Medicago truncatula: one gene and its partner. The protein of the gene in region 2 interacts with the protein of the main gene of each other region in a pairwise test. Links are inferred from orthologs where the notes say so. Each region holds a gene or a part of one and is shown on either strand. Other genes may lie near its edges.

Region 1 (16,798 bases), on a different chromosome or scaffold from region 2:
TGGAAGATGTTATGTCATATAGGTAAGCTGTTTTCAGCTTATTTTCATAAAATCTCCAACATAACTTATGAAAACAGTTTATAGGTTATTATAGGTTATACGAAAATAATTTGGCATTTTTTTTAAACGGGGAAGAAGAAATTATTACTAGTAACGATGATAGTAAACTATTTTATTTTAACTCGGCTCAACTGAGATTTGGCATGTGTCTCTTGAGATTACAAAGAAAGTCAAACTCTTACAACCGAGTTGACACCTAATTTGAGAAGATGTTATGTATAAAGTGTTCATTTTCCAAGTAACTCTCACAATTTTGGCATATAGGTAAGCTGTTTTCCGCTTATTTTTAGAAACTCTTATATCCTATTTATATGATAAACACATATGCTATACTTGTTTAATTAAGTTGTTTATCCGAACACATTCTTAATTAAGCTGATAGCTTTTTTTTTGTATGTACAAGTTGATGAAATTAAAAATTTCTGGGCAAAAACCAGTGCTGATTTTTCTTGTGCTGAAATTGGAGGTAACTATTAGTATTTAATGTTATACAATACATAGGATGTTTTGAATAGTTTTTCACCTAATTTCATTTTTGACTAGTTTTCAAACAAAACCAAAAATTCAATTTCAATTTCAATGGTGTTGACTTTTCACTTTAGACATGGTCCTAGGCCTACTCCTTGGGGCTTCTTGATTGAATATGCACAAGATGTAAGAGGGTATTTTTTTCTTCTTCTGCCTTCACAAGATGTATGAGGTTGAGTCCAATACGTGGGTTCTTCTTTGAAATCTTAGTATCTGATACCTTGACTAGAATCTGCCATCAATTAAATGTTGTAAATGCGTATATGTGAATTCATAGATGATCGTTACAATGTTTACTTTTAGAAAACATTTTCAGTTTTCATTTTCTAAATAACTTAACAAGCCCTAAGCTTCTACATCTATTTAGGATATCTAAATTCATTTACGATCCTTGTGAAAGTTTCCTCTTCTCATCGATAATGCTACATATGTTTTGTTTGTTATCCTGATGATGAGTTTGTGTGGACATGTTTCTAAGTAGCTTACTTTGATATTTGGGTGCCGAATTAGTTAGTTGTTATTGTCAAATCTCACTTACTCTCAGCAATATAAAAGTGAACTGAGTATTTGGTGCTAGGAAGGTTTATCAAGGAATATAGTACTTTTGGTCCTATGTTTTTATTAGTTAAATTTTAAAAAATAATTCAACACTGACATTTTGTCCTCACTGTATTACTTCGACTACTTCTTAGATGCACAAGAACAGTTTCAAAATTCTCTCAGGAGTCACAGGATTTTACTAGTCAGTTATAGTTACCTAGATAGCAAGTTCCCGACGTATTCTTTTGTAACTGCAGACTTGCTGTATCTATAACTACTCATTTACCTTCACCTGGACTGCGATATTGGAGCGTCTACATGATAGTATATTATTTGGCATTGACATTATCAATATTGAGTTCTTTCTTTTTTACTCTTTCATGTCCAATCATGTATCAGTATTACTGATCCATTTACTAATCTTAGCATTAAGCTCACATTTATTTTGAATTCAACTTATTAGGAAAGTTAACTGAGTAATAGGAAAGCTCACATGCATTACTCCTTTCGGAGAAACTATTAGGTAAGATTTGAAAATTAATGCGGTGTATGATAGAACATTATGGCGTAATTTGATCAATGTAGCCGAACCCACTTAGTTGGAAAAGGCTTGGTTGTTGTTGTTGTAACCTTTTAGTTTGCAACTGATCTGTTCAGATTACTATGCAAAGTTTTGGTGGTTCTGATAAACTAACATGCTCCTGTGTGTCCTCGAGGGATTTGTTCTGGTGCACTAGTCGTAACATAATTGTGAATTCCATGTTAGCAAAACGTTTTATGCCCCATTATTGTTTAATGTTTGAAAATCACTCATTTAATTTGTTTTCTTGTATTCTAAAGAATGCATGTTCTAATTTCTTCTTTTTTAATTTGTTATTTTTTGACAGCCAGGATTGTTACTATGTCAATCGCACCGATTGATAGCATGACCTCATTGAATAGTGATCTCTTCTATGACATATTAAGACGGCTTGATGGCCCTGCGTTGGCTAGTTTAGCTTGCACATGTGCAGCATTTTGTTCCATCTCAAAAGAAGAGAGTCTATGGGAAAACGTGTGTGCATCTGTGTGGCCTTCAACCAAAAGGGAGGATGTTAAAAGTTTAATATCCTCTATTGGTGGTTTCAGAAAATTCTATGCCGATTGTTTTCCTCTTATCGTTAACAAGGAAGTCGGAGAGTATCAGTGGAACAACCATCTTGAGTATCCTGATGATTGGACTGAAGCAGAATACTACGGAGATACAAATGAATTTGAAAGCATCACCCCATCAGATTTTGTTTCCATCGTAGACATTAGGTTTAAGGATAAACCAATCTGCTCCAAAGTTCTATCTGGAATTCCAAACGCAAACGATAACGGTGGTTGGTTCTACAACTGTCCTTTTCGTATCGATCTTCTCACTTACGCTGATAGAGATGATAACAATGCGGGGGAGGTGACCCTTTCTGTTTCCAACGGTCTTCCACCGATTACATCAATGGAAAGGGAAAGAAAAGACGGGAAACTATGGCACGAGCTTCGTGATGGTCTGCTTCTTAGTTGGATATTAGTAAACAAGAAAATAAAGCAAGCGGCTAATCTTGCTAGCTGGAGTCCTCTTGACGGTCAAAGACATTGGCCGACGGATAAAGACTTTGTCATCCGATTTGGATCGGTTCTACCGGCCAAAGACATTCTTCCTTCTCAAGTAGTGCAGTGTATCCTTGCCATGAAGTTTAGAGTGGTTCACATTGAAGAAGAGGGGTTTGAAACTACTTTAAAATTAACAGAACTTAGCATGCAGTTGGAAGACATGGAAGGTGCTCATGTTAATGGAAAAAACAGTTTGCATATTCTTAAAGAAGCACTTAGCTGCAGAAGGAGCAAGAATTATAGTGAAGTTATTGAATCTTGTCATATGTACTCAAAAGTGCAAAATGAGTTAAAAGAGGAGAAGATGAGAAGTGAAAGTAGGTTGGATACACTTTGTATTTTAAGTGGCATTGCTGCTTTTATGACATTCTGGTACTATGTTTTGTGAAATAACTAGGATTTTGAGGACTCCTTTTTGTAAGATAAAATTCCTAATAAAGTAACTAGTTGATGAAAGTTTCACTGGTTTGAAATTTGAAATTCTCTTGGTATGAAACTTTTGATAATTGACTATCAGCAGCTAGTATTACAAATATGCTTGACTGTTTTCTCCATCAGTTAAAGAATTTCAAAGATCATGCAGGGATTAATGTGCTTCATGCTGTCTCCAGTCCAAACAATTTGTGACCCAATTGCTTCAAACAATTTGGACTAGGCAATTTGACTCTAGTGCTGGTTTTACCTTTTTTTTTTTACTGGTTTTTTAAAAAACTACTCTCTTTCGGATTTGTCAATTTGGACGAGGAAGAAACACCATTTATCTCGTGTCCTGATGAATAAATCATGAAATGGATACATAAACTCCCATTTGACTTGATAATTCTAGTTCCATGGGCTAACCATAAAGACCATGGGCTAATGAATAAGTGTAAAACATGATTAGAGTTGTAAAGACTTCACCATAGTTTTATAAGGATGAGTTAAGCTAAATTTAGAAAGAAAGAAAAAAACACAAAGTTTAAGCCAATTCCAAATATAAAAGTTTCATACTCGGTTGTTTCTTTGTTTCTAGATACACTACAACACAACAAATTAAAGTTGCATCTTCCTTGGATAAATCTTGTAATGCTTTGAAGATAATATTCTTGCTCTCCATATCTTATTGTATTAAAATAGAAATAGAAGAAAAGAAAAGCAACATACTCCAAACATTTAAGCTACTTGGATATTTAAAAAATAAATGAAGTATATCTTCATTGTCCACAGTACGTAGTGTACAATTAATAGGAGATGTGACTCCTCTATCTCTTAGACGCACACGAGTTGGTAAGCAATTCCTATAGATTTATCACAAAGTTTTTTTTTTTACCTTTGGGGGATTCTTGATCTTCCAAATTAGATTCCAAGAGCCTTGTACTTTAAAGTGTGATTCTTACACACAGAAATGTTATGCGCTACGAACAAAGTATTCACCATGATTTTCTTTTTTTCAGATGAGTCGATCTGTCATCACTGATGGATAGAGTGGTGTCTTCACTATATGTTCAACTACCTGCCGATAAAAAATTGGGTGCATGGAAGACAGATTCCATTCCTTGCGATCATTAAGCATGCAATCTAAGACCACTAGATCAGCTAGAGAAAAATATCCCCATCAACCTCTGGAATAAGTGTAACATCATTTGCAATATATTTGTTATACTAAATCGAGATATCCTCACCATCACCTATCTTCCATCTGCTTTCAGCTTTGAGAATAAATTTAGAGTTACATATGCTTCGTCATATAAAGCTAGGCTTATGTCCCAAAGTTAATTAAAAAATTACATCTAGGATACTTTTTTTTCAAGGATTAAAAGTTTTTTTTTTTCACGAATTTTCTTAACCAAGCATGTATATATATTATATATGATGTAAAAAGTGGCACAATTACGTGATTCAATTAAAATACATGTGAAAGCAAGTTTTGCATTATCATTGCGTGCAAGTTATAATTTCTTCGGCCCCTCATCGAATAGCTTTCTGGATATATATGTTCCTGTTTGAATGGTGGAGGTTGGTTCAATGGAGCTATGAGAGATTCACAATGGAAAGCATCAATTGACGCAATTAATTGTATGATGTTGTCATCTTTTGTTTACTTTCTCGTACTATCTACTTACCAAGGCTCTCAAAGAATATGGTGAATGGACCAACAGAGAACATGCAATGCAATCAAATGCAGAAGAAATGGATGTGGGGGTAAGATTTGGATTTCTTGCCTGTGGTCAGCAGTCAAGCAATCCGGCAAGTCAGATTAATATCGAATGGTGTTGATAGCAAGGTCCTTTTACATTGCTATTGATTGAGCCATTTCTCATCCTGTCATGAAGAATTAATTGGCAAGTTTGAAATTCGCTGCAAAAGGCAAATTTAGTGGGCTAACAAACCTAGTAGTTTTTTTTTTAGGGAAAATAAACTTATATCATTTCATTAAAAATTAAATCAGAAATACATGTTGGACTTTCATCAAAGATGTGGAAGCTAGGACCTAATGTGGCTGCCTTAGCTAATTCATGAGCAACCTCATTTGCTTGCCTCCTAGTAAACTCGACATGAGAGTTTGTTAAAAAGATATTACAAAACTGGATAGTATTCTCCATAATGGACCCAAATTCGGTGTTATCTCCTCTTGCCTTGTTGAAATAATCAGCTACTGTTTTCGAATCTACCTCAAAATCAACATTTGTGAGCTGAAGTTCATTGATCCACCGAGTTGCATGATAAAGTCCTAAAGCTTCTCCAATGTTAACTGGACACAGTGGTGAAAACCACATGGTTTTTGACGGGACGTGGTTTCCTTCCGAATCGCGAATGCACATACCAATACCTACTTTATTGCTGGATGTAGAAAAAGAGGCATCAACATTGCATTTGAGTCTTCCACTCCTTGGCTTCCTCCATCGGATGTTACCATACCTGTTGTTCGTATTCTGACTATCATGAGTTTGAGGTCTTGAGAACAAACCTAATAGTTAAGGAGCTATAGAATGAAGTAGTATGGACCAGTTCATTAATTAACATGAGTTTTAAAATGAGGGAGAAATAGAATATGTGACCTTCCACCCTACAACTCATGCATCATATATATAGACACACTAACAACATACATACATCAAGATGGGGCTTCTTCTATCTAATCCATGTGCCTAAATGGTTCTACAAATATGCATACATCATTCATATTTTTAAGAGTTTATTTGAGGTGTGTTATTGGCGTAAAATTATATTTTTAGAAGAGTAGATTAGATGGAGGAGAGTCAAATCAAAAATATGTAGAGAAAGATTTAGAAAAACTATGGAGGAGAAAAGGAAGAAAAATAAAAGAAAAATATAGGCGTCGTAAGTCGTAACAGTGGGGGTGCAGTGCAGGAGAGAAATTGGAGGCATTGTGATCGCGGGAGGCTTAGAAAGGTCCACCTCTTTCTTGAAATTTACTACTGTTTACACTTGCCAGAAAGTTAAAACACACATGAAAAAGATCATAATTTGTCGAATAGGTATTCCTCCTCAGTTAGCTCCCGTCGATTTTTGAATTTTTCAGCAGTTAATTGCCGACACACGGTTATATCAGCGGATTACAACAACCTAGTCCCCTACTCACTATTTCATCAACTTGCTGACAATTTTCGCAAAATGTCTGACATGCACGTATCAGCATTAAGTGCCGAAGTATGGAGGCATCGACAGATAACTGCCGATGGAGTTTTGGTGGTTAACTACCGATGCGATGGTTCATAAATTGCATGCTACTGCCTATTTTTTTTTTTTGTTTATTTTAATCCTTTATGCAACTAATGTTTTTGCATTAGTTAGTTGTTTATTCATCGTGATGTGTTGTATATTTATAGTTATGGTTGAGTACACAGATGATGATGCGGTTGAGACAAAACCTATTTTTGTCGATAATTTCGGAGATGTCAAACCGCCTAAGGTTGAAGTCAAACCAAATATTGATGAAGCTTCAGTCCATGTTGAAGCTTCATTATATGTTGATTCCGGTGTCGTCCCACTTGATGCCAACTAAGTTGACACAACTAATTTTTTTTCCCGAAGAAGTTAAATGGAAAGATAGGGATGAGTTGCTTAATTGGGTACGTTGTCAAGCAAATACGGCAAGATTTACAATTGTTATATGTAGATCCAAATTGATCAATCCAAAGTTGCAATTAGTGTGTGAAAGGAGTGGCGATGACAAAGTGCCGGAAAAAAAGATTGAAGCACGAGGCAACAAGTTTAAGAAAATGTGGGTGAATGTTCATGGTTCGTGGATATCTTAGAAGGTAAACAAATGATTGGAGATTGAATATTCTTAAGAGTTCACAATCATGAGATGGAGCCAAGTTTAGAAGGACACATGATTGCTGGTAGATTAAAGGAGAATGACAAAAAGCTTGTATGTGACTTGACCAAGAGTTTGGTGCTTTGAAAAAATAGTTGTTAAATTTGAAGAGCAAAAGACAAGATTGCAAGACAAATATCAAGCAAGTATGCAATTAACATCAACAAATATGGAAGTCGAACAGAGGTGACAAGACGATGATGCATTATATAATCTCAAAGTTGGAGGAGCACAACTATGTTTATTTCACCAGAACACAAAGTGAAAGTACTACTATTGAAGACATATTTTAAGCTCATCCAACATCCATTAAGTTGTTTAACAATTTTGGTTATGGACTCCACCTACAAAACCAACATGTACATGATGCCAATGTTTGAGATAGTTGGGGTCACCTTGACTGATTTGACATATTCAGTTGATTTTGGATTTTTGACACATGAGAAAGATGACAACTTTGTTTGGGTTTTACAAATGATGCTTAAACTTCTTAACTCCAAGAGTAAATATGACTGACATGGATACAACTTTGATGAATGTGATTGCAACTGTTCTCCCAGAAAGTAGTTATTTTCATGTTGGAAAAAATGTTAGAGTCATGTGCATCACTGACTGTAGATATGCTTTGGGAAAAAAGGATTTGAAAGAGGTGAAACACACTGATGTAGTGATGTAATGAAGAAGATATTGAGAGCATGAGATGTTTATTGTTGAATCACCCACACAAGAATTATATGCAATTGCATTAGTGGAGTTCAAAAATGTTTGTAAAGATTTTCCAAAGTTTCTTACCTATGTCGAGAGCCCCATTTTGGATGTTGTTAAGGACGAAATAGTGAGGGCATGGACATATCATGTCTTGCATCTTGGATACAGAACCACCAACAGAGTTGAAGGGGCTCATGCTATAATAAAGAAATATTCGAGCAATAATGTGGGTGATTTGGGTACTTGCTGAGAGAAAATACATGATATGTTTGTGATCTAGTTAGATGCGATACAAAGACGTCATTTTGTACTTTGGGTTGGGGGTTATGTGTCTAGATATGCTTTGGGTAACATTGTTTTGGAAGAACAGCGTTGCAAGGAAACATTATGTATGGACAATGTTGCATCGTATGGGCTACCATGTGCATTCTTCATTGCTGTGAAAATTCGTGACAACAAGCCTATTTTATTGGATGAGATACACCGTCATTGGCATAGGTTATGTATGGCTGAAGAAAATAATGAAGATGGTTTTTCTGTCGATGAGGAGTGGAATAGTGTTCAAGAACGTCTCAAGAAAGTCCCTTATCAAATGAAGCTAGAAATCAAAGAGGTTTTGCGGTAGTTGGTATTTCCAGACAACACAGTGTTGTCTCCACCATCAAGAAAAGTATCAACCAAGAGAGCCAAGAAAAAAGTGAAAATTTAAGGTCTAGAGCAAATGTGGCATCGACTATTCGAAACCTTTCTTCGTGGGAGCGTGTTGATTCTCAATATCTAGATAGTCAACCGTCACCAACTACGTCATCATATCCTAAAAGGAAAGGTGCTCGTATTGGTAAAACATCATGTTCCCCTTTCCACCACCTACTCGGTTTCCAAAGTCTACTCCGGTTCCAAAACCTATTCTGATTCCAATGCCTAATAATGTTTTGAGCCCTATTGATTATATGTCAAAATTCATGGTTCCATTTATTGAAAAATATGGTGGATGTTAAAGGTGATGAGAGTTGTGGATTCAGTGCTAGAGCCGAGTTCTTGGGATTGACCGAAAAAAGTCATATCATGATTCGTAAACATCTTATTCAAGATGTGAATTATCGTAGATATGATTATGAAGAATGGAATATAAAAAAAATCTAGGGGATTGAGATGTCTTCTAAATTAACAACTTCATGGTAATAGTAATTAATTACTTTTTATCATTACTATAACCTGGGACTTTTATAAGTTAAAGGAGAGGTCCAATCAAATCTTAATCGTTTAAAATAAATGTTTAATTAAAAAACATGAAAGATAAATCATTTAAGGGTGATTTAAGAAAAAATATACCACTTGAGAGTATTGTAGATCTTAACATGTGAAAATCTGATCGAAGGTAATCCATTATCCTTACCTTTATTTATTATATTATATTTAAATCCTCCTAATTATTCCATTAACTTTTTATTAATAAAAAAAATTAGTGAAAAAAAAAACGATCAAATGAGATATGAGAGGCATGAAGTATCGATTACTTCGAAGGAAAATGTTTGGTATACACCTCATATAAATGTATACACCTTAAAAGAAAGAGAAAAGAAGAAAGATGTGATAAATGTAATATGTTGATGATGTTAAACGAGTGTATGAAATTCAAAGGTCTTTATTTATCATCCTTGTACTCTTCATTTATCATTGTTGTACTCATAATAATCTCTAGTTGTGTTTTATTACTGTTTGTGCTACACTTTTTTTTATATATTATCTCGTACAATCAAAAACCAAGCTAGCTGGCGCCCTCAAAATGACTAACACAACTAACTAACAAACCAAACTATGATATATACAATATCAGTATATATATATATGTAGCACCCAAAAACTGGCTGGTAGACCAACCAGTCAAAAAATACTCCCTCCTTTGCTACATCACTCTTCACTTCATCCTTCAAATTAAACCATTTCTCTTTTCTTAACCAATAAACCTTCTTCTATATATGATCTTATACAAACACATATAGTAGTATTTATTGAATCTCTCCCGTATCCACCTCAAAGTCATAACCCTTTTAAAGTTAAACCTCTTTCTTAGTCTCACCTACAAGCCATACACACATACCTGCAAGTCTTCTATTCTATATACTTTCTTCATTGAAAGTTCAGCTTACCATCTTTTCTCTCTTGATTTTTCGTTGTCTATTTACTTGTCATGAAACAACAGAAACCAATTTTACCTGTTTCAGACTTTTTTCCTACTTTTGGAAAGGTGTTTTAGATATGATTAAATATTGCAGAGAAATGAAAGAAAAAACTGTTTGGTAATGACTGAATGAATAAAGAATGGCTGCTCCATCTCCATTAGGCAGTAAGCTTCAAAACATGTTGCAGGCTGCGGTGCAATCTGTTCAGTGGACTTATAGCCTCTTCTGGCAACTTTGCCCACAACAACTGTACGTCATCATTTTCTTTTCCTCTTCCTCACTCACTATATATTCTTCTTCTAATGCTTCCAACTTTTTACTTTGTCTTATAAAAATACACACATACTTTGTCTTCTTCTAACCTTTGATAATATTATGTCAAAATTTAGGTAATTATTGAGGTCGTGATGTTGCATAGACATGTTAAACCTTTATATGCCTTTTGCAATTTTTGATGTTTCAATTTTTGGCACAAACCCAATAATTAAGAGTGTGTATATATAAAAAAAAAAAAATTATGTATGTCATCGTTTTAATTTCAATTTTTAGTTACGCTGCAAACTTTTATATTGCAAAAAAAACATAAAAATGCAGCTGATGCGGTTGAAATTGCAACTTTGATGCCGTTGAGGTGACTTGTATTGTGACTGCAATTTAAAATCATCGATCATGTATATCGCCGCTGGTTATTTTTCTAGTATATTAGTTGTATTCTCCAAAAAAATAAAAACAGTTCGATTCAACTTCTCTGGGTTTATGTATATTTTATTAATCGAAAAAAAAGTAAAATTTTATTATTAATCATTTTACAGTCATTCTTAAAGACATTAGACCTCCTTCTATTAAAGTTACAAGGTGAAACTCTTACTGAACTCACACTTCTCGAACATATTCACTTTGACTAGTAATAGCTTATGTGATAAAGAATTTTATAATTTTCTCTAACACAATGATTTGATATACAGGATTCTAGTATGGGGTGATGGATATTACAATGGATCAATTAAGACTCGAAAGACAGTGCAACCAATGGAGGTTAGTGCTGAGGAAGCATCTCTACAAAGAAGCCAGCAACTAAGAGAACTCTATGAATCATTGTCTGCCGGAGAGACAAATCCACCAACTCGTCGTCCATGTGCTTCCTTGTCACCTGAGGACCTAACAGAATCTGAATGGTTCTATTTGATGTGTGTCTCTTTCTCTTTTCCTCCTGGTGTAGGGTAAGTAAAGTAACTCACCTTCTTCCATTATTTCTTATCTAGCTAGCTCTCTTTTATGATATATCAATTTCATTCAGAAAACTAACCTATACTAGCTTTCTCTTTACATTAATTAATAATCAGTACTTCCACATTCTTTTTAGAGTTTAAACCAATCATCTGTCTGTGTGATTTTAAAATTATTTATGATTAAAGTCAAACATTTTTAATGATTTAACATTATAAGTGATTGAGTGTGTAAAAACTATTATACTAATTGATTTTCTCACTAATTTCATATTCAACCTCATATTATGAGTTTAATTTTGTTACATTTTGAGTGGAAAAAATGTTTGCACAATCGACCAATCAAAAGTCATATAATATATATGAGTTTTAACTAGATAATTTAAATAACAAATTCAAATGTCCTAGAGATAAGTAAAGTTAATTTTTGAGTAAAGTAGAGTAATATATATAGCTCAAGTTTGCCAGCATAATTCTTGAAGCATAATAATATTGAAATAACTTTGGTAGGATCAAGTTTTGCTTTAATGCATATCTTGATCATTTAATTAGTTATACTATTATTATACTTATAGACACTAAATATATATATGTACTCTAGTTAGGAGAATAGAGAAATTATGGTTTATCTCCATGAGAGAGGAAAGCCTGTTGTTAAATGCAAAAAAAAAAAAAAAAAAATCATGCAAGCTGCAAAAATTGAATAAACATATATACTAGCTAGTACGAATTATGCTAAGTTAGGTTTTGAAATATCTTTCCTTTAACACAAAAAAATAAATTTTGTGATAAAAGAGGTATTGCTAAAAGTTATCATATGAAGTAGCAGTATACATATTATCAATGCAGTTTTTCCCCCGGTTAGATATGCATTTTGGTGAGGCATGCAGACTGTTGCAGAGGCCCCCGCGAGTGTTGCTTAAATGCTATATCGATCATCACCTACGAATTTATGAACCGTCAGCAACATTTTAGGAATATATATCCACAAATATGAACATCTATTATATCATATACATTTTTACATAGACAAAATAGCCTACAATGTGCATATTGTTTTTGTGTTGAAAAATTGAGGAGACGGTAATATAAAAAATTAACAATTTTCTATGATTAGTCAAATCTATGCATCAAATTATCGATCAAATTAGTTCTTAATTTTTACAAATTAGCAATTAGTTTGTGGATGCAATATGTGAATATGACAAGATTGATATTCAGAGGATTCTATCGAATAAGAGTTTGCTTAGTTGAGCATTATATGCTTGAAGAGGACGGCTGCTATAGAGGGAGTTGCTCATTTCGAAAAATCAGACAAATTTGAATGCTTTTTCAGAATTCAAATTAACTTAGCTGCAAAAAAATCTCAACACTACTTAATTACTAGTTACTACCATTCTATTTTTGGAAGTTTTCACTATCACACTTCACTCTCTCTGTCTTTATCCAATTTCAAACTTTTCACATATCATTTGCATTTTGATGACAGTACGTGTTTTTATTTTTATTTTTTTTAGCTTCACATAGGAACATAACATCAATTGGTCACGGTATATGAAGATGTGTGTGTATTCTTACCAAATATTGCAATGAGTCTGATTAGTTCTCGATTATGGAATAAGAGGTAGCTTTAGATAGGCCATAAATAATGTAGATTAGTCTATATCTATAAAAATAATATATACATACACAAAGCTGGCTATAAGTATATAAGAATCCTTCTATTTGTTATGTAATATAGGTACTTACATATACTACGTTAGATTTGATGACAAAGAAAAAGCATAATAGAGTTGAGAGAAGTAGGATTCGATTAGAATGGACTAACAATAATGCACTAATAATTTGATGTCATTGTAATCTATAGGAAACAGCCAATTAATTGTTGGTTCATTTTAGGGGCTATGAAGTTATTACTACTTTGGGCCATTTTAACTTTCGTTTTTGTAGGAAAATTTGTTTATATGATTTATCGTTTTTAAAGTTCAATTCACTCTTAATGAATGGTTTAAAAAAAAAATTGTTTTTAAGGAAAATGATTTTAAATGTTGTTCTATTCTAATTCATTGATTTGAATCTTTTTTTGTTTAAGAGTGGTGCTTAGTTATAAGGTAGAATAATAGAATAATTAATTATACCTACATAGTATTTAGTTATTTATGGTACGGAGTGGGTATTTTTTGTTTTATATTCTACTCTAATAGGATTCATTATTCTCTCAAGTAGGATAAAATAAGTTGGTAGTATTAAATACAGGGCCTTATACTATATGACAACCTAAACAAATTTAGGTACTATATTATTATTATTGATGTACCACCGGCAAAATACTAACATCCATGGATTCAAGTACACTTTAATCTTTTGATGAGTCATTTTTCAAACTGTTGTGTCATTAATTGTGTGATAGGTGATACAATATTTAAGACATACTATTTTTTTTGTTGATGAAATACTATGAAGATATTATTAATACAAGTGTGTTGATTATGATTTTTTTTTTCTGTGTTTTGACACACATTATATTGCACCATATATAAGGTTGCCTGGAAGGGCATACACAAAGAGACAGCATATATGGCTCACGGGTGCAAATGAAGTGGATAGCAAAATATTTTCAAGAGCTATTCTAGCTAAGGTGATCACCAATTAGTACATTAGATTATTGATTTTGACAATTTTTCATTTATAAAGAAATTTTTTAAAAGTTGCTTTCATATTATAAATTTATTGAACATCATGAAGCTTATAATTTACTAACTAGCTTTTCTTTCCTCTTGTTTCTCAATCATTGGCAAAATTTCCACTGGCTAGAGTGCTAATATACAGGTAACAACTCCTCCATCCAACTTTAATTTGTAATTTTGTACTCCATTTAATTATATATAATAGGAGGAAGTAAAAAAAAAACCAAAGTAATACTTTGTTTTATCTAATGGTTAATTTGTGTAATGTATAATCTACAGACTGTGGTATGTATTCCTGTATTGGATGGCGTCGTTGAGTTTGGCACAACGGATAAGGTAACATATTTCATTTGTCTCATATTAGGTTTAGATTGTCTAATGGTATGCATATTCAAGAAATTTATTGAGTATTATACCATTTCTTATGTAAAATGATGTGCATTACCGCAATGAAAATAATGTTCGTGTAATAATTTGGTGGGTTGGAATACAATAAATAAGACTATATTAGTTTTAAAAAATACAATTAATGTTTTACTAATATTCTAAAAATGATAAATAATATAAGACAAATAAATATCTTGAAAATGACACTAGGATGAATAGAGAGTTGAACTTGAATATAGTGTAGCATCTCATCTCATTTACCTTATACTTATGTTTGTTAATTTCTTAGGTTCAAGAAGACCTTAATTTCATCAAACATGTGAAGAGCTTCTTCTTAGATGGTCACTCTTTGCCGCCAAAGCCAGCACTCTCAGAACACTCAACCTCTAACCCAACTTCCTCAACCGATCACATTCCTACCATCATGTACACCATGGCAGACCCACCCTCTACAAATCCCAATCAAGACGACATGGATGAAGACGAGGAAGAAGAAGAAGAAGAAGATGAAGAAGACGACGAAGTTGAATCCGAGTCTGAAGACGAAACAGGAGGTCGTATCCGACGTGCAACCTCAATGACGGCTATTGTAGAGCCAAGTGAGTTGATGCAAATTGAAATGCCCGATGATATTCGGATCGGGTCGCCAAACGACGGGTCAAATCATTTAGATTCAGATTTTCATTTATTAGTTGTGAGTAATCAAGGAAACCCGTTAGGACACGTGGACTCGTACAAAACCGATTTAACACAAAGGTGGGGCCCAATTGAAGAACCGGTGGGTAATTTGCTACAAGTTCAACTACCATCCTCAGGTAAATTAATAGTCATTAGTAATTGTTAGAACAAACACACATGACACTGCATTATATAACAACTTGCATTTGAATCTACTCACCAAGCATACAACGTTAATCTTTAAAATAATTGATAGCGAAATGACTTGTTGAAATTTCGAACCCAAAATCTAGAAATTAATTAAGCACATATTGATGGAGGAGAATTGGACCACATATAATAAGGTTAGGCACAGTTTGGGGGGCTGGCTGGTCATTAGATTCAAACACTATTCTGTTTTCTCTATAGATCCATATATATACATGTGGTCCATCCTAATTAATTCCATTGTCTACCCCATTTTTGCGGGATCCACTTCTATGCAAAATCGGACTCAATTTAATGCTCAGCCACCAAAGTCCAAAAATATTCACACCCCACACGGTAAATTATAGACGTGACCATGCTCCCCCATGCAATATATTATCAACATATTTTTTGACAAAATATATTATCAATATGTATGTAAAAAGGTTTCTATTCGTTTAATAAAGAAAAAATATAAAATCATTTATTTACAAACCATGTAATAAAACTCATTTGCTTTAATTAAGAGAGAAAATACAAACTTTTGACTAACTCTATATAAGGGGGGTCGGTAGCTCAACTTTGTTTGTTTGAGCTAATGGTTAAAGAAGTTGATAAGTTAAAGAATTAAGGTGGACTAAGTAAAAAAAATAAAACCAACTATGTATGTTGATTATAAATTAAAAAAATTGCATTAAAATTTAGGAAAACGTTTATATAACGTCAAGATCTAATATGTGTTGGGTCATGAGAAGTTCAGGGGTTATCACATAAATAAAATTAAACACATGTCTTAACTCAAAATTTTAAAATATTACAAAAGAAATTATCAATCCAATTTGATGGCGTGACAAATAAATTCACTCTTAGTCCATCGTATCATTTCAATCAATCTTCTTATCCAAAGCGTGAAAAGATAATTGATCCATGAACTTTAAAAGCTATGACTCACTTTTTATGTTTGGCATCAAAGAGGAAAACAAGAAAAACATTAATTGCATACGGAAACCTTCCACACACATTAAAAAAAAAACAACAAAACTCAAACCATTTGCTAATGTTAAAATAAATTTTAGACATACTGAAGTTAGCATGACTCTTATGTTAATTTCATCCAACTTCACTTCTAACAAGCAACAATTTGGAGCATGTCTTTTTATTTCTTTGTAGAAAACCAACATATAAATGTTGAATGAGTGAGATCTAGGGAAACCTAATTCCTAAAAAAGTGACATGCATGTCTGCATTGGCGACAAAACTATTAGAACTTAGTGAGATATTGTAATTTTAGCAAAAAAAACTACACTCTTTAGTTTCACAAAATTATGTTCACATCAATTCATTGGACTGCGATGATCTTAATTTTCAAAAGATATACTATATAATTCAATTTAATTTAAAGAGAAATAGACATGAAAAATGTTTCAAAAGATTTTTAATAACAAAAACATTGACATGTGCTTGTACTTGTGCATTTTTTTGCAGTACTTCATCATCAACTAGAAGACTTAACACAAGAAGACACACACTACTCTCAAACTGTTTCAACCATTCTTCAAAACCAATCAACACAATGGACTATCGATTCTTCACCTTCCATCAACTACATCACTTCCTCTAACCAATCCTCTTTCACCAACTGGACCAACCACCATAACT
Region 2 (16,079 bases):
TTCATGCTCTCATATTCACTCTTTTGCAGAATCTCTCTTCAGGGCAAGATTTGAGAGAGAAAAATCTTTTGCTTTTAGAATGTAATTACTATGTATTGATGTTGTAGAATGTCTTACGCATAAATTCAATCATATTCATATCATGTAGATATTTGTGCAGATCTTTTAAGAAAAAATACATGATGAAATATAATTCGATGCGTGTGGAAAACAAATTACACTTTCAAGTGTCAATACATTGTTATTTATCTGATAAAAATCCTCAATTTCTTTCCTAACTTGGAACTTCATGGTTTGGCATGGTTGGTTGCAGGTGGTTGTGGTACTTGTGTAGTTTTAATATCAAAATATGATCCACTGCTCAACAGAGTCGAAGATTTTACAGCAAGCTCTTGTCTCACACTACTTTGTAGCATAAATGGATGTTCAATAACGACAAGTGATGGCATTGGAAATAGCAAACAAGGATTCCATCCAAGTCATGAAAGATTTTCTGGATTCCATGCTTCTCAATGTGGCTTTTGTACTCCTGGAATGTGTGGCTTTCCCTCTTTGGTGCTCTTGTCAATGCCGAAAAGAACAATTCTCCAGAGCCACCAGCTGGTTTCTCAAAAATCTCTGTTTTCAAGGCTGAAAAATCTATTGCATGTAACCTTTGTCGATGCACTGGTTACCGATAGGTTGCTGATGCCTGCAAAAGTTTTGCAGAGGATGTTGACATGGAGGATCTCGGTTTGAACTCTTTCTGGAGAAAAGGAAGAAAGCAAGGACCCAATAATTGTGCAACTCATGCTTCTTTGTGGCGGCAACGGTTACCTCTATTGGTTTTGTTTGCTGAGTTTAGCTGATCAAGTTTCTTTCAATTTAAGCATAAGAATGTGTTTTGCAAACATAAGAACATGTGATACAGCTGCACTGGAAGAATGAGTATAACCTTCTGATGGGAAGTTTCATGGTTATTTGACCTACTCATGTAAACCATTCAAATTCCATTTGCAGACAAGTCAAAGTGTAAGGTTGAAAACCATAGCTAGTATAAAAACTACCAAAACATCAAACCTGAAAATCAATGCTAAAGAAAGGGGAAGAAAGCAGAAGGTGGGAAGTGATATAGAAAGTATAAGGCAGGGGAAATGATAAGTGATGTGATACCTATAAGAAGTCATTGTTCAGGAGGGTAGCAAATTACAACAATCAGGAACTTGTCAATAAAATTGATCCAGACAGAAGCATGAGTTATTTTTCAAAAATAACAAAGGGTCTTGATAACCAGTGCCCTCAGGGCAATGGTTAAGGATTCTACAAATAGAAATTTTATCTTGGAATTATAAGATGTTACTTTTGATCGTAATGATTACATAACTTTTTCATAAAATTTTGCGTGTTTTGGATGCTTAACCAATGCCCTTGGGGCACTGGTTAGCATTCTCCAATAACAAAATATCAAAATCGGTAAACTTTTTTTTTTTTCATTTGAAATACAGAATTGCATGCTAAAAAGCAAATACCAGAGGGACCTCAACAAGTGGGAAATTCTCAATGAAGAGAAGAGTTTTTGGGAAGAGCTTCAAGTTAACATGCAATTGTTGTAGCAGGTTTTCATCACCCTTTATCTCTAAATCTCTCATAATGTTTAGCCTGTAGTTTTTCTTGGCGGGATGGCCTTCTTTCGACTCTAACTACTGAACTATTCTCCATTTATTTAAACTACTTTAGCTCTACAGAACTTCTCCACACATGCTCAAATCACCTAAAACAATAGTCTACCATGTTTTCTATACGGGGCTACCACAATTTCCTCTTTTCTGCAGTGCCAATTATACTTTTTAATTCTTTACCAACATTCAATCATATATGAAACTGCAGCTCTGATAACAGGGGAATAAAATTTTCTTTAAGCTTGACTGCTACTGAACTTCTTTAACTAAATATCTACATATATGGCAAGGATGACCCCAAACCACATCAAGGCTTTAGCAAAAATATAACAAATAAGTTATTTATTAGATTGCAACCACTCTGGCATATAAACCATCTTTCTCAAAAACTAATGAGGCGTCAAAGCAGATGATCACAACTACTACTGAGACATGCATACATACAAGGAGGCGGAGTGTTTAATTGGCCAACTCCATCTTCAATTGAACAAGCAAATGCAACATCAATTTCTGCTATAAGTAAAGCAGGAAGGTAAAACAGTTTGTCCCACCCAACTATCAGAGTACCATTTCACTCTGAATGAGATACATCACTAGTTTAAAACCACCAAAAGAATCCATGCCATGTCATAACTCTGAAATTGATACATGATCAAGTTAAACTAAACTACTCATCAATCACAATTCACAACAACACAACACAATGAGTAATTTGTTTTCCATAACTACAAGTAAGTTATTCCCTCACCTGAAATTCAAACTCGAACCCTCAAAAGCTGCATCTTATTAGCAAAAGCAATAGCAATCCAATCAGGCTGAGCAGCACACCACTGAAGTTGATTAATTTCACAACCCGCAGAATTCATAGTCATTGGATCAATCCCATTCGGACCAGCCACAGCCGGCAACTCCCAAATAAGAGCATGCGCATCATCCCCACCCGAACAAATATGCTTCAAACATCTTGGAGCCCAAACAATCACATTGACATCAGCGTGATGTCTCTCCAATTCCACCACAGGCGTAGTTTTAGATCTCATTCCGTTGATGTGATTTCGTGTTCTCTCAACTTCATGATCGATTTCTCAACGATTTGTTTCTTCGGAATGTCTAGATCAGATCGGCTAAGCACCACGTCATTGTAATGAGAATCTTGTCATCTACTATTGATTAATCCATTGTTCAAAAAAAAAATACTATTGATTAATCCAAATTGAAAATTTCAAGATCGTTGAGCATTTAGGTTCTGCTCAAGAGATTTATGCGGTCGGTCTTGGTGCCATTTTCACAATCTCCTTCCTCGTATGTGGTCAACAATGGTTATGTTGTTGTGCGGTAAGGTTTGGCGCAACAAATTTTGTAGAGATTCATATATTGTTGAAGGTTATGCTGTTTATTTTGAAAGTTTGATGGTCGGTTTCAACTCTTGAGGTTTTGCTTGAGTTTTAGATTGAAATTATGTTTGAAAGAAATGGTTTGCCAATAGTATAATTTATTGGTTTAGGGGTGCTGTATAATTTTGATTACTGGTTTAGACAATAATACAAGTACTCTACACTATACCAGAACCTCAGCAAAAACAGTTACATTTTCCTGAACATTACTTATCAGTAAATAGGTAAACTTTTAACCATTCTTGACGTGGAGGAAACAAAGATTAGTAGTCATTCTTTAAAAATGCAAGCATCCTTCGAAATACATTTCTATGAAGGGAATGTTATCCTTTAGTAGTACAAAGGGAGGTGGTTCAAGCAAAGTATTTAAGAACTTTCTGACCAATACCAGGATGTCTCCAGAAAAGGAACGAATGAGCAAGTAGGTAAGGCATTTATGAATGAGCGTTGCTAAATAGCCCGACAGATTCAAGCACGAAATTGCACGACATGTTCAGTCATAGGCTATATACTTTATCAATGACTTCCTTATAGCTTATGTTATGCATATATATATGCTTTTGAGTTATTTTGTATGTAGTATATATTAAAAAAAATACTGCCACCAAAGAAATACATGGATAATCCACCCATTCTAGTTATAAAACACATGCAGAAGTGATTTGGATAAAGACCACCGCATAAGAAAGTATTTTGTTGTGATTTCTCACAAGTAAAATTTAGGAAATGCAATATTTATCATTTTGGATCAAATCAAAGTTAAGAGAAAAAGCTAAATGACGACTATAGAACCATTCACTTGTCAAAAAAAACTATAGAACCATTCGTGCATATTCCACGACAAATATTGTCGTGCTTTTGATCATTTTCCTTTATGAATATGTTTATATTGCTTCTAAAATGCTAACAGAGAATAAAGGCCAACTTATACGTGTATAAACCATATATCAAATCCTAGAATTGATCCACAAAATTTTAACTGAATTCAAGCAATGAGCTTCGCAAAAATTTAACTCAAACATCAATATAGTAGACCAATTCAAAAGGGGTGGTAAAGTGTAGGTATATAGCTACTTAAAGCGCCAAGAATTGAGTATATCCTTCTGATGGAAAGTTTCATGGTTATGTGACTTATTCATGTAAATTATTCAACTCATGGACAAGTCAACTGTGAATGTTGAAAACCATAGCTAGTATAAAGACTACCAGAACATCAAACCAGAAAATCAATGTTGAAGACGGGTAGTGATATAGAAAAGGAAATATTGTTATAAATGATAAGTGATACCTAAAGAAGCAATTGTTCATGAGGGTAACAAATTACAATAATCTGGACCATGTCAATAAAATTGATCCAGACAGAAGCATAAGTTTCTTTTTAAAAATAACAAAATATCAAAACCACAAAACTTTTTTTTTTTTCATTCGAAATACAGAACAGCACGCTGAAAAGCAAATACCAAATGGACCTCAACAAGTACACAACTGTAGTAGTCTAGGAATGTCATGTTTTTATACTTCAGAACTAAGATTAATACTAAGGATGAAGGACTATGCTTCTTTGAGTAAATACAGCAACAACAACAAACAAGCTTTGAGTAAAAAGGCATGTCATGTAACCTTTATCTCTAAATCTCTCATAATGTTTAGCCAGTAGTTTTCCTTAGCAGAGTGACCTTCTTTCAACTCTAACTACTGAAATATTCTCCATCTATTTAACCATCTTTAGCTCTACAGTAATTCTCCACAGTACTAAAATCACCTAAAACAATACTTTACCATGTTTCCCATACTAGGGGCTACCACAATTTCCGCTTATTTTCAATCTTGTATTCTATAACCACTCACGCACTGTTCTCATTTCTGCAGTATCAATTATACTTTTTAAATCTTTACCAACATTCAATCATATACGAAACTCCAGCTCTAATAACAAGGGGTTAAGTTTTCTTTAAGCTTAACTGCTACTGAACTTCTTTGACTAAATATCTACATAAGTGCCAAAGATAACCCCAAACCACATCAAGGCTTTAGCAACATTTAACAAATAAGCATTCTTTAGATTGCAACCACTTGGGCATATAAACCATCTTTCTCAAAAACTAATGAGGTGTCAAAGTGCATGATCAAAACTACTACTGAGACATGCATACAAGGAGGCAGGTTGTTCAATAACACAAGAAAAAGAATAAACTTTGACATTTAACAAGGATGATCTATCTAGATGTCAGTGTTGTCAATCGCGGATTGCGGAAAACAGCATTTCGTTGAAATTCTGCTATGCTATCGCGCCGCCACAATAGCAGCTATTTGATAACTAAATAGTGGATCGCAAAACAATAGCAATTTGTTTAAATTCCGCTGTCCGCTATTTGACATTACTGCTAGATATGCAGTAACTAAACTATTCAATTGGCCAGTTCCATCTTCAATTGAACAAGCAAATGTAACCTCAATTTATGCTATAAGTAAAACATGAAACTAAAATAGTTCGCCCTACCCAACAATTACAGTAACCAACCCACTCTCACATATGAGATACAGCAATACTTTAAGACCACCAAAAGAATCCATGTCATGGCATACTTCTATAATTTAATAGATGATCAAGTTAAACTAAACTACTCATCAGTCACAACTTACAACAACAACAACAACACAATGAGTAATTGGTTTTCCAGAACTACAAGTAAATTATTCCCTCACCTGAAATTCAAACTCAAACCCTCAAAAGCTGCATTTTATTAGCAAAAGCAATAGCAATCCAATCAGGCTGAGCAGCAGACCACTGAAGCTGATTAATTTCACAACCAGCAGAATACGTAGTCATCGGATCAATCCCATTCGGACCAGCTACAGCCGGCAACTCCCAAATAAGAGCCTGTGCATCATCCCCACCGGAACAAATATGCTTTGAACTTCTTGGAGCCCAAGCAATAGCATTAACACCAGCGCGATGTCTCTCCAATTCCGCGACCGGTGTAGTTGGTGATCTAATATCCAAAATCACAACTTTATTACTATCCATCAAAATCGTGGCCATATACCTCAAATCCTTCTTGTTCCAAGCTAAACGAAGCAAAGGGGTATCAGGTTGCGGACTTTCATAGATAATTGTTGAATGCTCTTTATCCCTTAAATCAAAAATCCTAACAGACCCATCAGCAGAAACCGAAGCAAAAACCCTTGATTCCCCCCAAGCAATATCATAAACCTCTTTATCATGCGCAATTAACTGCGTTTCAACAACGCCTCTTTCAATGTCCCAGATAGTACAAGTAGTGTCAATACTTGAAGTTCCAATTCGTTTGGGCTCAATTTCATTCCAATCAAATGATGTTAAAGGAGCACAAAACTCACTGGTTTTGCTATTGTTGAAAAGAGAAAGAGCTTCAACGGAATTTTCACGAACTTCCCAGAGACGGAGATAGTCACCGGAGGTAGCAAGGAGGTCGGAGGAGGTTTTCTGGAGAGAAGAATGTGTGGCGGGATGGAACATGAGTTTGGTTGGTGGGTAAGGGTGATCGAAGGAGAGTGAAGGTTGAGGTTTGAGTGAGAGGGTATCGGGGTTGAAATTGAGAATATCGATGCGGTTTGTGTATTCTTCGATGAAGCTTCCGACGGCGATACGTTGTTGTGGGGAATTTGTGTTGGGAGAGATGGACATGGCGTAGAGTGGGTATGGGGAATCGTATGTTACGGAGTTGTTATCGGATCGGAGATGGGATTCTTGTGTTGAATTATCCATTTTTGGTGGATGGTGGAAGAAGGGGAAGGGGAAGAGAGACAGGGAAAAGTTAGGTGGGAAGTGAAAATGAGAAGATGGGGTGACTGAAGGAAGGGCACGAGCCTTAAAATCTCAACTGCCTTATTCTTCTTCACTTGACATTCTTCGTTCCTCCTACTAGCATAATATATGGTATGCGCCAAAATTGACGAGAAGGTACCTCCACGTCCCCAATTTGTGTTGTGTTAGCCACCAAGAGCATGTCCAATGCATCTACATTATGTTATGGTAGATCAACTCTTGTGTTGTGTTTAGTTTCCGAAATTATAACTACCACGATAGTTTGAATGTATCGAAATTTTAAAATAATTTTTAATTATTCATTTCGTTAGTTAAAATAGTCTCTCATAAAAGTAGAATAGGTTAAGTCAAGCTACATTCTAATAAACTCAAGACTGGCCTGTCTAAAATTTTAAGACTTAAGTCTAGTTTGCGGTTTATCATAGAGTTTTTAAAGTGAAGATTACAAACTCAATTATATCATTACTCACTTTATTGAAATATACAACCTTCTTAGCATCCAATTCAAAATCCACATTTGTTACTTGTAGAGCATGCATTCATCGGTAGAGCTGTCGAAAATGGGCCGGTCCATTGACCCATGTTTTTGGACCGGGTCGGGCCTAAAAAACTACCCCAAAAATGCACTCGGGCTTTTTTGGCCCAAGCACATTTGGGCCATACAAAAGTTGGGCTGGGTTGGGCCACCGGGATTTGGGCCGTCCCATATTTCATTTGATTTTTGTTAAAAAAACAATATATTTTTTAAAGGTTAAAATATGTTTTTGGTCCCTGCAAATATGGCAAGTTTGGGTTTGGGTTTTGGTCCCTAGTAATTTTTTTTTTAAATTCATCCGTGCAAAATTTTTTGTTTTAAAAAATAGTCCTTGTCCCCACTTTACTGATGATTTGGCACATTTTTACCTACGTGGCATTCGCTGACTGTGCATAAGTTATACATGTGGCAATTAAAAATTATATTAACATTTATAAAATAAATAGGTAAAACATAAAATAATTTTTTTATTTTTAATTAACAACATAAATACATAAAGGGGATAAAATTTTCTTCTTCATAACTACCATTCTTCTTCGTGAATCTTCTTCTTCATTGCAAATCATTTTTTGCATCACTTTCTCTTCCATCTATTAATTTGTTTTCCTTCTTTGCCTCGTATGAAATCGGAAATCTCACTCATTCCTTGTCAAAATTTCACCTCACATATTCAATCTATCTTTCATATTGTTTTCAGATGAGTGGTTTCTCCTCATTCTTAACCCAAATATGAACCCATTCATCCCCACTATTCACAGAAAGGAGAAAATGCTCTAATTTTCACAAAGAGGCTCCACTCATCTCCCACCGTCGTGAACAACAACAACAACCTTCATACTTAAATCTGGCCTTTAAACACTTATCTAACGTTCAAACTCAAATTCAAATTATCATACAAAAGAGATGACTCTGTTGGAACCTGAAGCATGAATTTGTTGCTTTCTCAAAATTTGGATATGATTGAAATGGGTTTGATTTGGTTGAGGGGTTTAAATGGGTTGGATTGAAAGGGGAGAGGGGAAATATTGCAGAGAAGAAAAAGAAATAGTGGTTTTGTTACGGAAAAATTGGGGACCGAGAGAGTGATTTTTTTTTGGAGAACAAGTTTTTTGTTGGATGATAAATTAAGTTCTTCCGTCTTTCCCTGGCCTCCCCAACACACTCTTGATACGAAAGAAACCTCCCGCCATAGAATAGAGAAGAAAGAGATCTAAAGTCTGGGTCCCCTCGATCACCCTTCCCTTGAACCTGAACTGGTCGAGAGAGATGAACCCGCACCACATTTGATAACCTTCGAACTGAAACCCCCAACTAGAGATGGAATTCCAGAACCTAAACAACTCAATGGAGAGCTCCGTGACCGGTTCAATTCAAGGGAAGGTCCACCAATAATGGAAAGGCCATTCCCCTCCCTATCTGTTTCTTCTTTTTGTTCATGTGGATCTTGATTTGAATTAAGTTTAAGTTTATTGTTGGGTTTTGTTCATATTCGATGATGAACTAAGTTCTTCCCTTTTTCCCATTGAAATCTTTCATTATTTTTGATTGGATTATGAATAATTAGATGAATATATGTGATAAGTTTTGGATGAACATTTGGGTTGAAGATGATGATATGCGTTACTGATAAATGTTTTGGATGAAGATCTTGATTAAAAAAAAATTGGGTTGATGATGAATGTTTAATGTTTTTCTTTTGATTTTGGTGGGTTTAATGGTGAATATGATGAAGGGGAAGAGAAGGAATTTTTAAAAACAATTATTTTTTATTTTATTTAATTATATTTTGTAAAAATAACATATTAAATTATTAAAATGATATATAAATAATTAAAATATGTTAAATGACAGATGTTTGACACGTGTGCATGATTACACAGTCAACGAATGTCATGTAGGCAAAAATGCGCCAAATCATCAGTAAAGTGGGACCAATGACTATTTTAAAAAACAAAAAATTTTACATGGATGAATTTCAAAGTTTTTTTTACCAGAGACCAAAAGCATATTTTAGCTTTTTTTAAAAATTATCAACTAAATTAAATTTTATTAATAAAAAATATTAAATAAATAAACTTAATAAATATGAATAAATTTAGCTTAAAGTATTAAAATTTTAAAGTTTATAAATTATCAATTTGATTTAATTGAAGGAAAAATCTATAGTTTAACTATTATTCAACGTTAATGTAAAAATTATTTACATTTTTATGTCCATCCAAATCATATTTTAGCAAAAAAATAGTGGTGTGTAACTAATACATAAAAAATACATATAAAAGAGTGATTAAATTTAAAAAATAAAACTAAAACGGGCCGGACTGACCCATGGCCCACACGGGCCGAGCTTGCCCATTTATGTAGTTGGCCCACGCGGGTCAGACCGGGCCGGGCCAGCCCATTTGACACCTCTATCCATCGGATAGCATGTGAGAGTCTCAAAGCTTCTCATCTGTTTCAATGTATGATTTGTTGATTGCATTATCTTATTTTTAGTCCTTAAATAAATGGGTCTTATGTTATCGTCAAAAAGGAAAGAAAATGTATGATTGTATTATCTTATTTTCAGTCATTAAATAAATGAATATTAATCCATATGTTCTAGCTCAACCGGTAAAAATGCTGAAATTGTTAGACCGGAGTTCGAACCCCGGTACCTCCACTTGTGTGTGAGTTTATAATAGTTTTATCATTCCGTCTAGGCTAAAATATGCTTTTGGTCCCTGCAAATATGGCGAGTTTGGGTTTTGGTCGATAGTAAAAGAAATTTTTGAAATTCATCCCTGCAAAAAATTTTGTTTTTTAAAATAGTCCTTTGACCCAATTTCTTGTTGATTTGTCTTATTTCAGCCTATGTGGCAGATGCTGACTGTGTCAACTCGCATATGTCGCATTAAAGTATTTTATAAATATTTTATAAATCATTTACTAAAATAAAATTAAAATTCATAAAAAAAAAACATTGGTTTTAGTCAATATGTTTCATCTTCTTCTTCGCGTGTTTGTTCTTCCGGTACCACCACCATCAAGCCCTTCCTCACAAAATGAAAGAACACACAGATCTACATTTTCTTCACATGAATCTTCAACCAAAAGAATCTTATCATCTTCAAACCAACACTCCATTCCAAACTCATAAACTAATCTAATTTCAACCCAAATCCAACAACTCGTTAATTCTTTATCCAACCTTAGAATACAAAAAACTCAAAGACCCATATTATTCTTCCGTCGTCATCTTCCTTCCAACCCTCAAAGTTACAAGATCCTTCTCTAACCTGTCTCTGAAACCAAGTTTTTACTCTTTTGCCACTGCTCTATTCTTAAACCCATAAGCTTTTTCTAGTATCTTATTCTTTCCGGATCTTGTTATTCTTGAATTTGGGTTGAAGATTTTTCCAAGATCTTCTCAAACCGGATCTAGAGAAAGCAGTGATGTCACTGTGTATTGTGGCAAACATGAATGGTTTCGTTTCAGATCCAATTTTATAGTGTTGAGAGGGAAAATTTGAGATATGGAAATTAGGTAATTTGAAATTAGCTGTTTAAAATTGAAGCAATTATAACCTTGTGATGCTTCAGTTTAATTGTTGTTGTGCCTGTTGGGATTGTTGTTGTGCTTGTTTGGTTTTATCTGTTTTTGGGAAGCTTCTGTTTGACTGACTGGTATGAGGAAGAAGAAGATGAAAGTAACATGAACTCTAATTTCAATTCTCCTCCCTTTATATTTTAATAAATTTAAAATATAGAAGATTAATACAATAAATAAAATAAATAAAAACATTTTCTGATTTATTAATTTATTTAATTCCTTTTAAATTCCACGTATTTGCCATGTGGCTAACTTTACACAGTCAGCATCTGTCACATAGGCAAAAATGGGACAAATCAGCAAGAAAGTGGGTCCAAGGACTATTTTAAAAAACAAAAAATTTTGCAGGGATGAATTTCAAAATTTTATTTTACCAGGGACCAAAACCCAAACTAACCGTATTTGCAGGAATCAAAAGCATATTTTAGCCTTCCGTCTATCTAAAAAAAAAATATATGAATAATATTTTATCGTCAACTAAGAAAGAAAATATAATGCAATAATACAAGCTTGCTGTAAAAGTAAATATTTTTTTACAGCTAAACTAAATTAAACAATGTTTTTATACACACAAATGATCTTTCAACATCTTCATACCTTCTACTTAAGTTATAAGTTTGCGTTGCTAAACTCAACAATCAATAAAATTAAAATTAAACACTTTATAACTAACATTTTCTATAATAAATGGCAACTGTATTTGTTTTTAGAGGTGTGAACCGTAATATTTTTATTTCATTCGTATTTTTCACGGCAAAAATCACTTTTAAAAAGACTTTTCATTTAATAAACTTTTAAAAAACTTGTATAGTCAATTTATCATTATAAAAGTCACTTTTAATGTTCGTATTTTTCTGTTCAAAAAGTTATTTCAACTTTTTTTTTTTGGTTGTATTTTTTCTGCTGTAAAAGTTATTTCAAATTTTATTTTTTTTTGAAAAACAATTGTTTTAGCTAATACTTGTGGTAAGTGGTGACCGATGTAAATATAATTTTTATAGTAAGTCAATTTTAATTAAGTGCAGTTATTATGAATTAGGATTCCATGTGGGTTCTCTAAAAAAATACGACTCAATGTGGGCCAAGTCAGATATAAGAATTGAGCCCAAAAATAGAGAATATCCTCTATCCACACCTTTAGACTACTAAGAATATATATTGCTAAATAATCCAATTTTTTTCAAAGTTATTATTATTTTTAAATATTTTCAAAGGTTTTTTTGAGGCAATTATTTTTCGAATTCTGCTCTTCTCAAAACTGATTTTGCTCGCTCGCAGCTGAAATACCAAAATTGTCTTTGCGTGAGTTAACTCACGTAGGTTTCGTGACTTAAGTTACGCATGGGTATTTTTGGAAGTTTGGTTGGGAGCGAGCAATTTTTTATGGGAGACGAGCAGAATTCTTATTTTGCAGGATAATATATCGTTTGATTATTTATTTACTTAGAGGTAGGGATGTACAAAACATGATCCACTACGTTAATCAATCCTATAAGGTTTGAGTCACGTCTGACCTAAACATCAGAATAGAAAAGTATAAGCCAAAAAAGGAGACAAGACTGAAATTGCACTGAGCTCGAGTTGACCCTTAAATTACTTCTCACTTCCCAAATACTAAGATGACATTTTCTTGTATATATAATTTCATCATCACTCATAGTCTCTCGAGTCACACTTACTTACTACACCCTATGGTCACTAATATAAGCAAAAATCCACTTTTTAGATACATTCAATTAATGATGTATGTGATCTTTATTATATGTCACATTCATCATTAATTGAATGTATTTAAAAAATATATTTTTGTTTATATTAGTGGCCGGATGGTGTATCTCTTTTCAAAAATATAAATCATCACACTTGTTGACACGAGGGAAGAAGAAAAGAAAAGCAGCATCACGAGGGAGAGTAGTTAAGATCCTATCACTTGTATCACTTACTCCTCCTATCACATTTGCATTTATTTACTCACTAGAGTGTCGTCGACAAATTGTAAATGAGAAATCTTCATCCCCTCCCTCGTAAACTTGAACCCCTTAAACATATTAAGGTTCACTACATTCTTCATCAACCCACTAAATCATTTCACCACTTGAAGAAACAAGAAAGAAGCAAGGGGGTCCCCTTGCTTCAATCCTCTTTGTATGTTAATCTCTTCCGTTGGACTTCAATTTACCAAACTCGACATACTACCACCACACACACACACGTCTTCGTCCATGCCACCCATTTTTTACGCAACCCCACCCTCCATATACTCTAAAAATCACCAATCCACCGAGTCATAAGCCTTTTCAAAAATCTACCTTAAGAATAAAACATTTTCTTTTACCTTTCTTTGAAAAATCCAGCACTTCATTAATTACCATGACACCATCCACCAAGCTATGACCTTTAGGAAAAGCCAATTGAAAATGAGATATAATAGAATTCATCACCCCAGATAATCTCAACGCATGCGCTTTTGAAAGAAGTTTTTACAAACTCCCTAAATGAGAAATAGGACGGAAATATTTCTAAGAGAACATAATTTCAACCTTGGGGATCAATGCCACAAAATAAGATAAGAGACTCCTTGAAATATCTTCATTGCCATGAAATTGATCAAACATAACTCTCACGTCACTTTCAACAAATACCAAAATTCTTGAAAAAAACAAAATTTAATCTGTCTAGAACCCGACTCTTATTCCCATCACTTAACCACTCACTCAAACTCCTCCACTGAGAACGGTTTAATAAGTCTCATATTATCGTCTATAGAAAGCATCTTGAATTGAACCTCATTCAACATCCCCAAGTTGACGGGAAATGATTTTTGAAATAATCCTATATCACCCTAGGCACCTTCGTTGGAGATCGCAACCACACATTACCCACCTTGATGCTCTAATGGAAATTTATGGATGTATGATGTTAAATTATAAGGTACAATGACCGTATTTTGAGATATATGTAGGTTAACAATTCACAACTTTTCATGCGAACAAAATGTTGCCCAGGCCGTAGGATTTTCTCTCACTCACTATGGTATGAAAATTGCTCTTCTCCCGTCACGTTTTGCTCGCTCCAACCAAACTTCAGAAAATACCACGCGTGAGTTAACTTACGCAGGTGTTAACACCACGTGACTTAAGTCACGTTGAAATACAACTTACGTGACTTAAATCACGCTGAAAATTCACACTGAACCCCCAACATGAGTTAACTCACGCTAGTTTTCTTTCACCCAAATTCCAATTTTTTTGTTCGGTGTATTGCAGCTTGTGTCTGACTCTTCTTGCATCTACTCACGGTGTTTGGGTGTTTTGCATAAAACATTATAAGGTCTGATTTCTGAATATTGTTTGATGAATTCTTGAGATTTCTACTTTTGCTTGAGTTTTAGATTCGTTCAAATTTTGTTTTTGCGTGTTCTACCTCTATTTGTGAGTTATTCAGATTTTTTGATTCAACTGAAATTCTTTCATTTGACAGTGCTCTAGTTTTATTTAGGTTTCTTTGGATTTGGAAATTCACAAAGAGAAAGTGAATTTGGCATATACGATTTTCATGTTCACATAAAGATTTTTTTTTTTCTTTCTATTGGCTTATTGGCAATTTCCAAGGATTTATCAAATTTGGATGGATTTAAGAGAATTGACATACTGGGTGCAACCATTGATCTTGTGTTTTCACTTTTGGATGATACGATATGTCTCACGGAGTAGGATACCACATGTTTGTTTTGATAAATTTGTTGTTCCATCAATGATCAATTCTATTCGGTGAAGACAATTGTTGTGGTTCTTTGCTTACTTATGGTTTATCCAAAACTGTGAAGGTTTAAAAATTGGAATATGGGTGAATGAAACCAGCATGACTTTAGAGTGATTTAAATTTCGTATTGTCTTTCAGCGTGACTTAAATCATATGGTATTAACACTTATAAGTTAACTTAGCAGATGTATTTTCGAAAGTTTGATTCGGAGCGAGCAAATCGTGAGGGAAGAAAAGCAATTTTCCTATAGTATTATCTCTTATGATTTCAAAGGGTCAGCTTGTGGCTATTTAATTGTATTGATAAATTCAGTTCGCGCATTTAAAGACGTAACAGTATGACGTCATATGTTGACGCAAAATCATTGACATAATGCAATGCGTACATTTTTTTTTTCTGAACTAGTTAGTAATCTTTTTTTTTTTTTAGCAAATAATTTATTTATTTTTAGATCTCCGGCTTTTGTTCTTGCACAAAACAATCTTTAAAATGCGACTTCTCAACTTATGTTTTTTTTTTAGAAAAAACATCAAAGATGTCACACTTAAGAATAAAAACATCAATTTTATTTATTGCAGTTTGGTGTACACCAGTACTAAAAAATCTGGTTAAAAAAAATAGTGTATAGTATAAGCTTAGTTGGCACTGGTATTCAAAAAATATGTTCATACATATAACACTTGTATTATAATTCAACATTGTTAAATCCATTTGAGTTTGTCGTTTGATGGTGTTAACTTGAAACTTTAAAGTGTATTTCTCTTCTTCAAAATTTCAGGTTCAATTGTTTTAATTTGGATGAATTGATTTAATTTATTCAAAAATTAAAACAATTCAACATAGTTATTGCCTTAACAAAAATAAATTAACATAGTAAGAATTTTGTATCGGGACCTTTTGTGTTTTTTTTTTCTTTTTTTTTTCAGAATATATTATATAAAAAAGCAAACTAAGAAAACAAGAGAAAGGAGGGGGACCATACCAAAACCGCCTTAGTAATTTACAAATCTATAGTTAGACATTCGTAATTTGTATTGGACATAACTAGCTCTAATGCAATCATGGATATTAAGCTAAATTGTTAGATGATTAGAATTTAAACCTAACTTTGCCAAGATACCTGCATTGTTTCCCTTCTCTAAACACATGGGATGCTATAAAATTCATTGACCTAGTTTTGATAATGCAATTGTTCCATCTGTTTCTTAACTTCCAAGGAACAACATAATTGTTTTTGAAAGCTTGTACCGCCAAAGTAGACTTGAGAATGAAACAACCTATAGTTAGGACCTTTTGTGATTTATGTTGCAATCAAACTTGAGAATAAAA

Evidence for each region.
Region 1: the proteins of protein TRANSPARENT TESTA GLABRA 1 (region 2) and basic helix-loop-helix protein A interact in binary tests that used the Arabidopsis thaliana proteins (3 or more experiments, as listed by UniProt). The link is inferred for Medicago truncatula from reciprocal best matches to the Arabidopsis thaliana genes TTG1 and TT8.

The regions. Positions count from the first base shown.
Region 1 is NC_053042.1:36,007,644-36,024,441, reverse strand, and holds the start of basic helix-loop-helix protein A, read left to right. Parts: upstream 1-9,661; 5' UTR 9,662-10,114; coding exon 10,115-10,224; intron 10,225-10,940; coding exon 10,941-11,195; intron 11,196-13,742; coding exon 13,743-13,839; intron 13,840-14,015; coding exon 14,016-14,030; intron 14,031-14,167; coding exon 14,168-14,224; intron 14,225-14,564; coding exon 14,565-15,090; intron 15,091-16,624; coding exon 16,625-16,798. Other genes in the region: F-box protein At2g27310, read left to right, coding at 2,030-3,151. UniProt on the Arabidopsis thaliana protein: Transcription activator, when associated with MYB75/PAP1 or MYB90/PAP2. Involved in the control of flavonoid pigmentation. Plays a key role in regulating leucoanthocyanidin reductase (BANYULS) and dihydroflavonol-4-reductase (DFR).
Region 2 is NC_053044.1:45,897,107-45,913,185, forward strand, and holds protein TRANSPARENT TESTA GLABRA 1, read right to left. Parts: upstream 7,043-16,079; 5' UTR 6,801-7,042; coding exon 5,772-6,800; 3' UTR 5,480-5,771; downstream 1-5,479. Other genes in the region: uncharacterized protein, read left to right, coding at 1-81, 314-738.